2 linked regions of the Pelodiscus sinensis genome follow. The protein of the gene in region 1 purifies or fractionates together with the protein of each later gene. This does not show direct contact. Links are inferred from orthologs where the notes say so. Each region holds a gene or a part of one and is shown in the gene's direction. Other genes may lie near its edges.

The links. Proteins that work in one complex are often made in the same cells at the same time.
Region 2: the proteins of SCLT1 (region 1) and KIZ purify together in Homo sapiens (co-immunoprecipitation; 3 studies listed by BioGRID and IntAct, counting the BioPlex papers as one, with this or other methods). This does not show direct contact. The link is inferred for Pelodiscus sinensis from reciprocal best matches to the Homo sapiens genes SCLT1 and KIZ.

Annotation. Positions count from the first base shown.
Region 1 is NC_134715.1:50,627,251-50,634,255, forward strand, and holds the start of SCLT1 (sodium channel and clathrin linker 1), read left to right. Parts: upstream 1-3,993; 5' UTR 3,994-4,107; intron 4,108-4,176; exon of another isoform or gene 4,177-4,395; intron 4,396-4,661; 5' UTR 4,662-4,742; coding exon 4,743-4,776; intron 4,777-6,412; exon of another isoform or gene 6,413-6,543; intron 6,544-7,005. UniProt on the Homo sapiens protein: Adapter protein that links SCN10A to clathrin. Regulates SCN10A channel activity, possibly by promoting channel internalization.
Region 2 is NC_134713.1:195,717,473-195,725,170, forward strand, and holds the start of KIZ (centrosomal protein kizuna), read left to right. Parts: upstream 1-4,678; 5' UTR 4,679-4,755; coding exon 4,756-4,850; intron 4,851-7,698. UniProt on the Homo sapiens protein: Centrosomal protein required for establishing a robust mitotic centrosome architecture that can endure the forces that converge on the centrosomes during spindle formation. Required for stabilizing the expanded pericentriolar material around the centriole.

The DNA of each region.
Region 1 (7,005 bases):
CTGTCCTTCTGTACAGGAATGCAGAATTTTGCCTGTGCATACATGCAAGTTTCAGAAATTCATACTCCAGGTTTGAATAGTACAATAAAGGTGTTTGTAATAACATATTAACTGCCTGACCTGAAACCCTGTTACGCATATTTCTTCTTGAAGTCCACAGATTTCTCTGTATAAGGATTGCATGATCAAGCCTTAATGTGTGAACCAGCATACACTATAAGAGAGAGAAGCTGATCACAATTCTATTCTTAAAATAGAAAATATCAATATCTAGATCTACATAGGCTGTTGCTTAAAAACTGTGTTAAATATTGACAGAGTACAAAAAAATGTACTACCTCAATAATCCTATGCTTGAGCATTTGCTGTAAGAAAACTCTAAAATACTCAAATTAAGATATGCAGACTCTAAAACAAAAGGAACTTTCATAACACTGTGAAAAAACTTGGATAGCATAGCCTCAAGCTAGCAATGTAAAACTATTAGTAGTGTTTGATTCATATACATTCAAAGAGCTGTAAGCATAAATTGTGGAGCCAGAATTTACTGGTAATGGTATGTTTCTATTATTGGCTTCTCTACACACTTCCCTTGTAACACTACAGAGAAGTGAGTTCTATACCACACAATTTTTAAATAGAACAAAAGCTTTAACAGAGACCAATAAACATTTCTGGCTTATTTCAGGAATTCCCAACAAGGATAAAAATACAGGAAAAAACAGTATGCACACAGAAATGGATAAAATTAATGTTAACACAAAACTGTAATTCTGGCATTTGACTTCTGAGTGCTGGACCTTGCAATGCTATTTAGAGATGTTTGCGGGGAGTCGACTAGTCCAGTGGTTCCCAACCTTTTTTATGCAGTGGACCAGCAAACCCATTCACAAATGTTTGGTGAACCGATAATATTTACATAATTATTATTTGCATAATGAATATGCAAAGAAAGTGTTACTCATCCACCAAAATATGTACCCCAGCTAGAGCCAGCCTTAGGGAAAATGGCACTCTGGGTGAACTTGTATTGTGGTGCCCCTGCCTCCCCAACCCCAGGCATGGTGCCCTCCTATTTTCTTTGGTGGCCATGGGCTCCCCCATCCCTGGCTCCCCACCCTGTGCCCCCTTTGCAATTAACTCCAACACTGTGCCCCAACTCCAGCTGCGTCACCTTCATCCCAACCTCTCTACAATGCCGTTGTCATCCCAACCCCTGCATTTTCCTCCCACCTACACCCCCAGCTCCAGCCCTGTGTTGTCAGTGTGCCTACCACATTGCCTCTCTGCCCAGTACCACCCAATACCTTATGCTTCAGATTTTTTGGCCCAGGGCCCCTACCTGGCTCAACACAAACCTTTCTGTGGACCACCAATTGCTAATAGAAACTTGCTGTTAGTTACATAATTAAGCCCAAGTCACTTTGCTAGTGCTGCAGCAAGGGAGAACTTTTTAATTTAACCAGTAAAAAAGGCAATATTAATGTAAGTGCTTTAACTTTCTCATGCATTAAGGCATGGGCTAGCCAGGCAGCTGCCCGGGGTGCCAACCTATGGGGGGGTGCCTGATGGCAGCTGTAAGAGGCGCACAGCACCCCTTATAGCTGCCATCAGGCACCGCACGCCCAGCTCCTGGATCGCTGGATGCAGCAGCTCCCAGCAGCTACCCTGCAGCGGCCGCCCAGAGCGGGAGCTGCATTAACCACCGCAGCACCAGACAGCAGCACCCTTCCCCCCGAGGTAATGGGGCCCCTGCACGGCCAGGCTCAGTCTGCACCGGGTGGCCCCGGGCTGTGCGCCAGCGGCGGTAGCCGGGCTGGGCCTATGCGTCCTGCTGCCGCCAGCTCCGCCTGCCCTCCCCCACACGCCGACACCGGGGCAGGGCCACGCATGCGCCCTTCCCCAACCCGGGGCGCAATTAAACTGTCTGCCCGGGGCGCTGGAATGGCTCGGTCCAGCCCTGCTTGTGCCCTGTTAGGTCCTTATATCTTTTCCAGTCTGCCTGTCCTCATACCACACCTAGGAAGAAGCGCTGTGACCCCATTTTGACATACAGGGAACTCAAGCACAGACTAGGGAGTTAAGATGATCAGAAACTCCTCAAACCCTGGTTAATGAAGCAGCTGCATAAGCAGCTAGATTAGGGACCTTCAAACCTCAGTGACATCAGGAGCCTCTGTCCTCCCTCCCCCTCACATGGTTGGAGCACCAGTGCTGACTTCCCGCTGTGGGGCAGGGGGAGACAAAGCCCCAAGCCTTGCACCACGATCTGGCTCATGGGGAAGAAGCGCTGCCTGCACGCTGCTGTTCCCCCAGGCAGGAGAGGGAAAGGGCAGTGCTTCTTTCCTGCAAGTTGGATTGTGGAGCAAGACTCAGAGCTTTCTCTCCCCTCTCCCATCCACAGTGGGAAGGCAATGCTGGTATGCCAACTGCATGGGGGAAGAAGCATGTGTGTGCACGAGGCAGGAGAGTGAGGCTGCAGCACCCTGGAAGCTGGCTACTGTGTGGTGGCTCAGGGGACTGGGATGTACCCTAGCAATGCCCCCCAGTGGCTGTGAACACCTGACTTCACCTTGCTATCCGCAGTCAGCAGTTCGAGGACCATCACCAACTGGGAATCGCTGGACTAGTCAACTATCCAATAAGCACAAGCTCATTGGTATTTGAGTGGAGTATCTACTACTCGTGTCCCCCTCCCTTCCCCCCATCACTGCCTCTATGAGAGGTAGAAGGATAGAAAGGGGGCAAACAGGAGTTGGTGCTGGTGGGAGCCAGCTTAAAAGCCAGTTTCCCCCCTGCACTGTCTCTGCAATGCTGCTTGTTTCCCCATCTGGGGGAGAGGATAGGGGAGGTTGCTACAAAGAGAGGTCTCAGCGGGGAGCTGGGCCCCCCCCTCCGGTGGGCAGGGACTGGTGCTCACGCTAGTCTGGGATGTTACATCTCTGCATTTTATGTGTATTAAGAGCCCAGTAGCTCTTACTACATTTAAAATGCAGAGCCACAGCAAGGGTGTCTCCTGCAGACAGCACTGCTCAGCCCCGACTCCAGCTGACTCCTGGAGCCACACCGGATGCGGATGCGGCTCTGCAGAGTGCTCCTTGTTGACTAATCATGTAGTTGATGCAATGTAACATCCTGAATCCTAATAACATTCTTTCCACTACTTCTGTGCAAAGTACTTTCCTAGGCTTAAAATAAACTGAAAAAAAACCCCATTGTGTTGCATCATACTGATACCCACAGGAGCCAGACGGCTTGGCTCAACTGCACAGATCTCTGCCACTTGAATGGATGGAATAACTGGCAGCATTAATAGACGGTGTGTTACAGGTATGTCTACACAACAGCTAGACACGTGGGTGGTCTGTGCCAGCCAACTGAAGCTCACAGGGCTTAGGTAGCAGGGCTCTTTCAAGACCGTGATTTCTGGGCTCCAGCTGGAGCCTGATCTCTGGGACCTGCTGACCTTGCAAGGAGCCCAAACTTCAGCCACGGCCCAACCGTCTAGAGGGCAGTTAACCAGCGCGTTACTCTGAGCCCTGCAAGCCAGTAGCTGGGATGGGCCAGCCAGTGGTGCCTAGCTGCAGACTTGACAACGGCACCAGTGTGCGGGGAAGAGCCGGGTCAAGGGGCTGGGGCGGAGGGGCGGCTTGTTGTGCCTAGCTACGGAGAGGTGGTGCTGGAGAGCAGCCACGTGCCCGGTACCCTACACGCCCCTTCTCAGCAATCGCCCCTGCTTGAGGGGAACCGGCTCCTGCTTGTCTCCCCCCACGTGCCCGCGCAAGCTAGAGCGGCAGTTGCTGCTGGTTCCCTAAATGGAGCGATTCTACCTACCGCGCGCGCGCCTCCGCCCGCAACCCTTCGGCCAGTTCTCTGGCCCGTCCTTGCCCCGCGAGACAGACCCAGGCAGATCCTCATCGTCATGCGGAAATTAAGATAAGGACCAATCAGACACCGCTTGCCACTTATCTCGGATTCCAATTGGTAGATCGGTGGCTGTCACGTGAGCTACACAGTTCCGCGCTGGGTCGGCTGCTCGGGCAGTTGGTGGAAGTGCTGCGGGTGTCCGGGGGTGCACGCGCGCGGTTGGAGGGAGCCGTTGGGCAGGTAGGCGCTGGCGGCAGGACCCCTGGCTCGGAAAGGGGGTTGGTCACAGGGCAAGTCGCTGCGCAACGGTCATTCCTCCCCTCCCCCCCGGGTCTTGCCGCCGCCGAGCCGCTCGTCTGGAGAACGGGGCGGTTTGCCTGGGAGCGGCGGCGTCCTGTGCACGGCCCCAGCCGCTGGGCGCCGTTGCCCTCTCGGCGACGGCCCGGGATGCGCTGGCGGCAGGGCGCGCGGGGCCATAGAAGATGCCCCCTTTCCTGAGAGCCTGCTGGGCACGAGCCTGTCCTCGGGGTAGCAACACGGGACGCTTCGTGGTGGGCGGGGTTAGGGCGGGGAGACACCTGGGCAGAGCGCGAGCTGCTGGGTCGCCGTGGAGCCGATGAGTCTGTAGCAGCTGCACTACGGGGGGGGTGATTGGTGTGACGGGCTAAACGCTGTTTCCGCTGCTCTTTCCCCGTCGCTAGCGGAGGCTGTTACCAGACTTGGATAAAATGCGGCTCGCGCAGAAAGCAGCTCATTTAAACTTATAATAAACTGGTTTGGCTTGTTTCTTGCAGGCTCTGCAGCAGGGCAGGAAAAAACAGCAGTGTACTGAAGCTCTTCATTACCAACATTGGACTGCACAAGCAGGTTAAAATATGGCAGCGGAGATTAATTTTCTAAGAGATCAAAGTAAGCACGACATACACTTAAAATAGCCGTTTGTGCACTTAAGGTCTTGCAATTACATTTGATAACCTAACGGTTTCACTCCCTGACTAGTGTTTGAAAAATGGATGCAAACAGGAAACCTGCCTCTAGAGTTTACTCTAGGAGTTCTAGAGTAAACAAACACCCCCCACCACACACACACACACACTTCTGTTTTACAGTAATTTTAGCAATTAGTTTCTATAACACTCTTTTCTAACAGAATAAAATAATTGTCAACAGCTCTGGTTTGTTAATACATGTAAACCAATATTCCATTTGACTTAGGGATGTAGGAGTTTAAATGGTTAACCAGTTAACCTGTTAGCTGATGCTTTGTTCCTATTACCATTTAAACTCTGGTAGGGAGTGTGGGTAGATAGGCTGGTGCCCACAAGGCCTGATGGAAATTCCATCAGTTACATGGTCTGTACGATTAGACCTACTGAAAAAGTTTGGACTTCTGGCCTATTAAACACAGCAGAAGAGCCCTCCCCGTATTGCCTGTACTCTGACAGAGTTCAATAATGTCTTTATCTAATTTTCATATACTCAGGGAATTTTCTTATTTTTTCATACTTACAGTGTGCAGTAGCGATGTGAAACTTTATCAAAACTGTTAACCAGTTAAATGGTATAATTGTAATTGTTTAGACTGTGACCACCAGTTAACTGTTGGTGGGGACAGGGCAACTGTATGTGGGGGGGTCATTACCACGCTGCGGGCAGGCATGTCAAGAGCCAATGTGGGTCCAGTGCACCATGGGCCAGGGTCTGGATTCCAGGGTTGCTGCTGTGTCGGCCTGGGGTTGCAGTAGTGCAGCTGGGACCAGAATCTGGGGTTGCTGCAGTGTGTTAGGGTTCTTCATGCTCCCACCACAGCCACTGTGGCCCAATCAGGATTTCTGCTAATCCCTTCTAGGACTGCCTACTGAACAGTTTAACAGAACAAGTGGAGTAATATGTAATCGTTAGAATGGTCATTGATGGCACTATTGCATTGTTTGTCATGGAGTGGGTACTCCCAGTCCCCTCTGTGGCAGGGCTTTAGACCTTTCAAAAAGTGTGCTCCACCCTATGAGTGTCTCTAGGGCCCAGGTCCTCTGACTACACCCTTTTTTCCAATGCAACAGTCTTGCTTAGCAGTCAGTCAGTGAAACAGCCCCTTCTGCAAGGGCAGTGAGCTCTGACAGTCAGTAATTGCCCCCCTTTCCTCCAGGTGACAAGGCCTAGTAGCCAGTGGGAATCCCCACCCTCTTCCTTCAGGGCAGTGGGGCTTAATGTCCAGAGTCAGTTCTCACTCTCTTCCCTGAAGGCAATGGGGCCAGAATCAATAGCAGCCCACCCTGTTCATGTGGTAATGAGACCGAGCAGCCAACATCTGTTTCCCGCTTCCTTCCCTCAGGGCAGTGAGGCCTAGTGGTCCGAGTCCATAATCACCATTTTCTGGTCTCAGGGCAATAAGGCCTAGCAGCCAGATGCAATAATCACCAGGCCCACCTTTTCCACCAGGTCCAAGTCCAGGGGCCTGTCAGTGGTGAGCATGTCCCATCACTAGCTCAGCAGGGAATCCACCCAAAACATGCTGAGCTCTTCCCTGCCCTGGTCTACTTCCTACCTTATTCATGACCATAGGCTTCTTCTCCAGCTATTCTCCCCTGATTGGCCTCCATGGTTTGGTCCCACCATAGCTCTTCCTGCAGAACTCTGGCAGGAGCTTCTTCCTCTACAGCAGCCAGCTCTGACTGAGCTGCTCCACTGGCATTTATACCTGTCCTCCAGCTGGTGCATTCCCAGCAGGGCTGTGGGGGTGAGGCTCTCTGTTAGGTAGCTCTGGTTAACTCTTTCAGGCCCAGTGCGGGGTTGGTACACCCTGTTACATTGTTAAATAGAAAATCATATATTGAACAGATGATTTGGGTGATCTCAGATGAAAGGTCACCTTTCACATTATAAAAAGGCACTTCTATAATTGAAAGGAAGGGCTGCTGTATCAGACCCTCTTTCTACTATTTTTTGGGGGGAGAAAGGGTTATGTGTTGAAAAAAGTGTGTAATTTTGTGCCTAGCTTCGATTTGCCTTTCCTTTTAAAGTGCCTTGTATTTTTCAGGCCATGGTTGCTATTTTTAGCACTTGCATACTTTCATTATTTTCCCCATCAAACTAGAGCTCATACTGTCTAGAATAGCACAAACCTCAGTGATGTGTCTT
Region 2 (7,698 bases), on another chromosome or scaffold:
AGACAAGAGGAAAGCTTATGAGGGGTGTCTCGGTTTCCGTCTATTGCTCCTTCTAGTGCCGCTGGGAAAGTGGTTATGGTTAGGCGCTGCCGAACTTTTCGGTGTGGTCCACCCTGTGGGTAGTGCTGGCAAACGCAAGCATGCAAAACTCACGAGTCAAGCCTCCCAAAACAAAGACAGTTGTAAGTCTCCTGATGTTTTTAAGCCAAGAATACATTTTGGCTTTTTATTTGCCTTCTGGGGTTTGAACCTTTAGGGAACCCTAGATAGAGTCACGTTTTCAACTTTTTCTGCACAATCAGGAAGGTTAGACATTTACTTAATTAAATGAAAGCTGATAGTCAAAGTCTAAGCCTCTTGACTCCAGTGGCTTTAAGAAAAACACAACATATAGCAAGACCTGTGAGGAAAATTGTGCATCGGAAACACTGTGGGGTTGGGATGGCAGGAGCAGGGGAGGGGACGACGACACTGTGATCCTGGATCCACTGAAATCAATGACAAAGTTCCATAGACATTGATGGTTCAGGATCAGGCCATACATTACAGCACTCATTTCATTATTTCAAAGCAGCCGGATATATTCTGAATATCTTCCTTTTTCCCCCCTGCAGGTTTTTAATGGACCTGACTTATACAGCGTGGATCCCGATTTCAGGTTCCAAATCTCCTACATTTCAGGCATATTCCGATCCAGGGTTTTGTTCAGTATCTGATAGAGATCGGGATCAGTGGCAAAATTGTCTTTCTGGTGGTTGATAGGTATGAAATCAACCCTGCACCAGAAGTCTGACTAGCATTTTTGTGCTTTCAATAGAAAGAAAATAGAACAGCAGGGTTTTCCGTTTAATCACACGTTGGGTGAATGCAATAATAAAAGGCTCCCAAATCTGCAAATCCTTTGCATATGTGTCTTATTGAGTGTGTAAGCTTTTTCACAAGCTAAAACCTCCCATATCTTTATGAGAGCCATTTATTTATAGTGGATCTGTGAGGACTAAGCCAGGCAGCAGCTACGGGTATTCAAGTGATGGCAGTTAATTTAGGGACTGTTAAGTACAACTGCATCTATCCAGCAATGCTTTTTGAAACGTGTTATCCAAATTTGAAACTGAGACGTGTGGAGAGTCATTAGCAGTGCTATAGAACATTAAAACCTGGCAGAAGAACCTGGAATTGCAGAAGGGGTTGGTTACTGTTAGAACTGGGGGACTCAACCTGCGGCTTTTGAGATATACGTGTCTCTAGAATCTAGAACGTGGCTCTTTTCACAAATTTGAGTGATGCCCGGCCTGCCTGTGGTTATTGCCCTGGGGGCAGGGAAATGTGATGTAGAATATATGTGACGTGCTGCCACGGGATCAAGATACACATCACTCTCAGGGTGTGGGTTGGGTACTCCACAGCCTCATCGTTGGGCTCAACAATTTGAGTCTTCCGCTGTAGTTCCAGCTACCAGGACAACATAGCTGGACAACCAGGGTACGTCTAGACTACCTGGCTCCGTCGACCAAGCCATGTAGATTTGTTTGTTCGGCAAAGGGAAATGAAGCCGCGATTTAAATAATCGCGGCTTCATTTAAATTTAAATGGCTGCCCTGCTCTGCCGATCAGCTGTTTGTCAGCAGGTTGGGGCAGTCTGGACACTCCCCTGCCAACATGAAAGCCCTTTATCGACCTCCCCGGTAAACCTCATCCTACGAGGTATAATGGGGAGGTCGATAAAGGGCTTTCAGGTCGGTGCAGGAGCGTCCAGACTAGCGCGCTGAGCCGACAAACAGCTAATCAGCTGTTTGTTGGCTCAGCGCGGCAGCCATTTAAATTTAAATGAAGCCGCGATTATTTAAATCGCGGCTTCATTTCCCTTTGCCGATCAGGCTAATCTACATGGCTCCATCGATGGAGCCATGTAGTTTAGACACACCCCCAGAGTCAGTAGCAAAGCCCTTCAGTCACAGGGCAGCACAAGGTAGCAGTTGATAAGAAGGGGTGCAGGGTAATCACCTCAGGAGGGGGTAGTAGTCAGGGTTAAGGGGACTCAGCCCCACCCTCTTCACCCAGTCCCAACTCAGGGACCTGTTGGTGGCAGATTTGCCCACCACTAGCACAGCAGGGCTCCCATTAAAACACAGTAAGCTGCTCTGATATGGCTACCATGTCTCACAAAACTCCTCTAGATCGCTTCCTTCCACGTTTCTGGGTTTTCCATCCCTCCCCTCTCAGCAGTGTCAACATCCTGCTGCACAAGCAGTCCTTCCTCAGGAACTAGCCCAACACTTCCTTCCCTCATGAGTAGTCAGCCCAGACTGCGCTGCTTGGCAGGCCTTCATACCTGGCCTCCACCTGTAGCATGTTCAGCAGAGCTAGGGGGCAGGGTATGTGTACACTACAGAGGTTTTTTTTCCGGAAAAACGACTGTTTTTCCGAAAAAAACTTCAATTGTGTCCACACTCTTTCAAAAGAAAATTGAAAGAACAGAGGGGTTTTCCCAGCACTGGCAATCCTCTTTCTACGAGGAAGAAGCCCTTTTTCAGAAGAGCTTTCACAAAAAGGCATGTGTGGCTGGGGAAGAGGGAGTTCTTGTGAAAGAAGAGGAAAGAGGAAAATGCACAGTTGCCCTGGTGGCCGCTCCGTCCATAGTAATCGCAGTTTAAATACATTCAGTCTGGACGCTCTTTCGAAAAAGCAGATCACTTTTTTGATGTGCTTTGGCAGTGTGGACACGGTCTTTCGGAAGAAGTTTTTTTGGAAGATCTCTTCTGGAAAAGCTTCTTCCGTAAGAAGCCTTCAGTCTAGACATAGCCTAGGTGAGCAGGATTAACTCTTGCTGCACCAGTGAGGGGTTGATATGCCCCATCGCAGCGACACACACTGTCTCTGTTCATAAGCAACTAATGTAAGTAAATATTGATGGTTTAGGAAAGTTATTCTAATAGAGAATGTGATTTTGTTAATCATTTTATTATAAATGTGTACTGATCACTTTTCTGTTCTAAATACATTTAATCCTTTTGGAGCTGTCTGCACCTCTACTTAGCGTAGCATTCCTTCTGTTACAGGTTTGAGTACCACTGATTTAGAGACTGGACTTTTTTTTAACCATAGTATCTGAACACCCCACAACTACTTATGGAATTAGCCTCATGTGACAGGGTGTTGTCACAAGAGACTCCATGGGATTGTTCCCTGGTGTGCTGATCATGCCACCAACCTCTGCCTTCTTGCTTTCTGGGGCTTCCCACCACCCTATCCTACTGGGCCAGATCCTCTGGCCTCTCCTAGATAAGGCAGAGTTGGGGTTACTGCCCCCCTGAAAAGGAATGCAGACACTGAACTACTTCATCTCTGAGAGAAAGCAATTTTAGGGCAGAGCACCCAAGAAACCAACCTACAAAGGGATCAAACCCCCAAATAAATCCGTCTTTCTCTGTGTAAAAGTTTTCCACAGTGAAAGCTCGTTCAGGCAAGCTCCCTTTATCAAGAAAAAGGAATATGCACACTGCTTGTTTCCCCCAGGTAACAATTATTTATACTGGCCTTGATAGCAAACAAAAGTGTTTTTGTTAAGTACAAGCAGCAGGTTTTAAGTGGTTGCAAGTGAAAACAGACCGATCAAGGTAAGTTACAAAATTAAAATGAAAAGAAAATGTCAAGCTTTGTTTTCTCACAGTCACCTTGGGGTTTTTATTATTATTATTTCAGTTACTGTAGTCCAGTGCCTCATTGTGCTAGCTGATGCACAAACACAAAACAAGGACGTCTCTGCCCCCAGGAGCTTACAATTGAGCACAAGAAACAACAGACATGAGACTAAAAGGAGACCATATTGATCAGCAAGAAAGGCGGTAGAGAGAGGAGGTTTTGTGTAAGCATTATAGTGCTTTACATTGCATTTAGATATTTACATATTGGAGATGCTTCCTGCAATTATACATACATCTTTTATGCAGTCCTCTTCAGTGCCCCCCTTAAAACTCTGTTGTGACGCTTACAAAACACTCAACAATAAGCTGTTGGCCTGCTGAATCTGCTGTCTATGCTCTGTTTCCTCATTTGATTGACTGGGAGCTGGATTCCAGCTTGCACTCTTTGAGGCCTTGAGTGTGGGTTTCTTGGAATAGTACCTACAGGGCGCACAGCGTAATCTGAGCCAATCAATTGGGAGTTGTGGGGAAGGCAGGGGCACACAGAGCACTGACTAATGGCGAGTGGGCAGGTCACCCTCTCTGCGCTTGGCTACCAAGCTGTCTGCAGACTCCTGCAAAGGTTACTGCGTGTGACCCGCGCCTGTCACATGGCCCAGCTTTTGGAAGCAGACTGGTTTATTTGTTAAGGGACGCCGAGATTCTGGTTTGCAGTCCCACGGCGGGGACCAGGAACCGGGCCGGGCCGGGGGCCACAGCGCTGGGCTGGGAGGAAGCGCATGGGGGGGTCCCTGCCTTTCCTCCAGCAGCTACAAGCCAGGGCCAGGGAGGGCTCAGGCCAGCGCCTGGTGCCAGCTCACTAAGGCCTGTCTGGGGACCGGGCCCCGCCCCCTGGCCAGCAGCAGGGGGCGGGGCTTATGGCCCAAGTGAGGGGCGGGGTTTGGGGTGAGCTCCCCGCCGCCGCCAGCAGGGGGCGGGGCTTGGGCCGCGCGCCCCCCTCCCTGGCGGGCCTACGCGCGAGGCCCCGCCTCCTGCCCAGCGCTTCCGGGTCCGCTCGGGCGCGGTGCATGGTGGGAGCCGTCGCTTAGGACACCGGTGTAAACAGCGCGGCATGTGCGGGGCGCCCGGGCCCGGCGCCGCGGGGGGAGCCCGGCGCCCTCAGCCCGCCGCGACCCTGGGCAGCCTCCAGCTGCGGCTCCGGGACAGGTGAGGGCCCCGGCCCAGGCCTAGCGAGTCCGCGGCCCCTCGGCCCCCCCCCCGTCTGCCCGGCCCCCTCCGCGACCCCCCCGTGTCCGCCCCCCCCCGTCTGCCCGGCCCCCCCCGCGACCCCCCCGTGTCCGTCCCCCCCTCGTCTGCCCGGCCCCCTCCGCGACCCCCCCGTGTCCGTCCCCCCCCGTCTGCCCGGCCCCCTCCGCGACCCCCCCGTGTCCGTCCCCCCCTCGTCTGCCCGGCCCCCTCCGCGACCCCCCCGTGTCCGTCCCCCCCCGTCTGCCCGGCCCCCTCCGCGACCCCCCCGTGTCCGTCCCCCCCCGTCTGCCCGGCCCCCTCCGCGACCCCCCCGTGTCCGTCCCCCCCTCATCTGCCCGGCCCCGGCTCCCTCCGCGACCCCCCCCCCGTCTGCCTGGCCCCCTCCGCGACCCCCCCGTGTCCGTCCCCCCCTCGTCTGCCCGGCCCCCTCCGCGACCCCCCCGTGTCCGTCCCCCCCTCGTCTGCCCGGCCCCCTCCGCGACCCCCCCGTGTCCGTCCCCCCCCCGTCTGCCCGGCCCCCCCCGCGACCTCTCCGTGTCCGTCCCCCCTCGTCTGCCCGGCCCCCTCCGCGACCCCCCCGTGTCCGTCCCCCCCCCGTCTGCCCGGCCCCCTCCGCGACCCCCCCGTGTCCGTCCCCCCTCGTCTGCCCGGCCCCCTCCGCGACCCCCCCGTGTCCGTCCCCCCCCCGTCTGCCCGGCCCCCTCCGCGACCCCCCCGTGTCCGTCCCCCCCTCATCTGCCCGGCCCCGGCTCCCTCCGCGACCCCCCCCCGTCTGCCTGGCCCCCTCCGCGACCCCCCCATGTCCGTCCCCCCCCCTCGTCTGCCCGGCCCCCGGTCCCCCCCCGTCCGTCCTGAGCCCCCCCCCGTCCGGCCCCCGGCCCCCTCCGCAATCCGCCCCCGCCTCGTCCCCTGTCTGTCCCCCCCCGCCTCGTCTGTCCGTCCTTTCTCTGCCCCCGTGTCTGTCTGTCCGCCCGTCCCCTGTCTGTCCTGCGGCCCCCGGCCCCTTGGCTGCCTGTTCTGAGTCTCTCCCCCTGTCTGCCCGTCCTTCCCCCGGCCCCTGTCTTCCCATCCTGTGCTCCCCGTCTGTCCTGAACCCCCCCCCCCGTCTGTCCTTCCTTCCCCCTGACTCCCATCTGTCTGTTCCTCTTTCCTCCTCAATTGCTCACCTCTCTACTCTGTCCCTTCCAGCCCAGTTCCAGTCCGTTTTGTTTGTCCCCCGCCTCCAGCCTCCCTTTGTCAGTTTACTTAAGTTCACACACTCTTGTAGGCTTCTAGCTCCTATCTCCTTCTGATTCCTCCTTCTACAGGCTCCTTTCACTCCCAAGCTGGCCCTAATAAATAGGAAGTGCAGAGTGGAAAGTAACAACAATGCAACTAAATAGATCATAACCAAGTCATTGGCCTCAGATGCACTAAAGCCACTTTATGTTTGTGTTATCTTAATACTGTCCCAATGTTATGTCTTTATATAACCAAGGACTGTGGTTATTCCTGGGAGGATGGAGAATTGGGAATGAGAGTTCAGGAGGGTGTTGTCTTTGGCTCCTATTAGGTAGCTTGTTCTGTGTGGTGGATCCCACAGCCATGTTCCAGTTCTGGGAATTTGCCTCTTTCTGTAAGATAAGTTAACATGCCAGAATATTGGTTGCTTATCACTTTACTTGAATAAAATACCAGTGTGGAGCCTCACTCAAGTCAGTAGGATACAGCATAGACACAGGGGTCTGTCTATGAATAGAGCCCTGTATGGATAGAACATTTTGTATCTACATCTATATCAGCAAAAATGAACTGAGCATATATCCACATCCACAACCTCATATGTGGATACTTGCAGATATAAAGGGGATATCCAAGGATTTGCAAGGCTCTATGAACATCAAGCAAGTTTCAGAGCCAGGACCTAAGAAAAAGTCTGTGAGTTAGTGAGAGCATTCCAAAAAGATCTGAAAGCAACTGCTCTAAGTAATGCTGCCACATTTGGTAAACTTTAGCACAGTGTTTGTTGCCCACACAACAGGAGAACTTCTAAATGCAAACGTAAAATGTCCTCAGCTGAAAAATGGGTAGGGGGAGTGTCACTAATCAATTCCTGTTATTAGGGATATTTAAAACTTTTTTTTAAACAGAACTGTATTTAGTCTAAGTTATGTAAGTTGCTTTAAATGACTCAAAGGATGATACGTCTGCCACTTCCTTTTGTTTTATTATTTTATTTCAGGTAGTTATATGTTGCTGTTTGTAGGTGAAGTGTGTGTGTGTGTGTTGTTAAACTTCTTAATTATTTAGCTTCTTTAACACCTCACTTTTGTGATGTGTAGGGTGGGATTATGAATAATGTCTATAATAACTTTTGATCTGTTGCTTTTATTTGGAGCTTTTCAAGTGGAGCAGGCAGCACTTTGACTTGGCCCTTATGCATGCTTCTTTAACAAAGTAATTATAATTAAAAGGTTACATTTTAAAAAGATTAGTGATTTTAGGTGGCCTCTGTTTCTGGGTGCACAGCATGTTACACCTTGAAGGTACATAATTAGGGTCTTACCAAATTCACGGTCCATTTCAGTCAATGTCACAGTCATAGGATTTTTAAAATTATAAATGGCATGTTTTCAGTTATGTAAATCAGAAATTCCACAGTGTTGTAATTGTAGGGGTCCTGACACAAGAAGGAGTTTTTGATGTTTAACCAGTTAACAGACTGACGTGGGGGCTACTCCACAGCAGCGGGGCTGGAGAGGTCTTCCTGCCATAGCCTAGCCTGAGTCTGAAATAAAAAGGTCCCTTGAGGGCACAGAGTCCCACT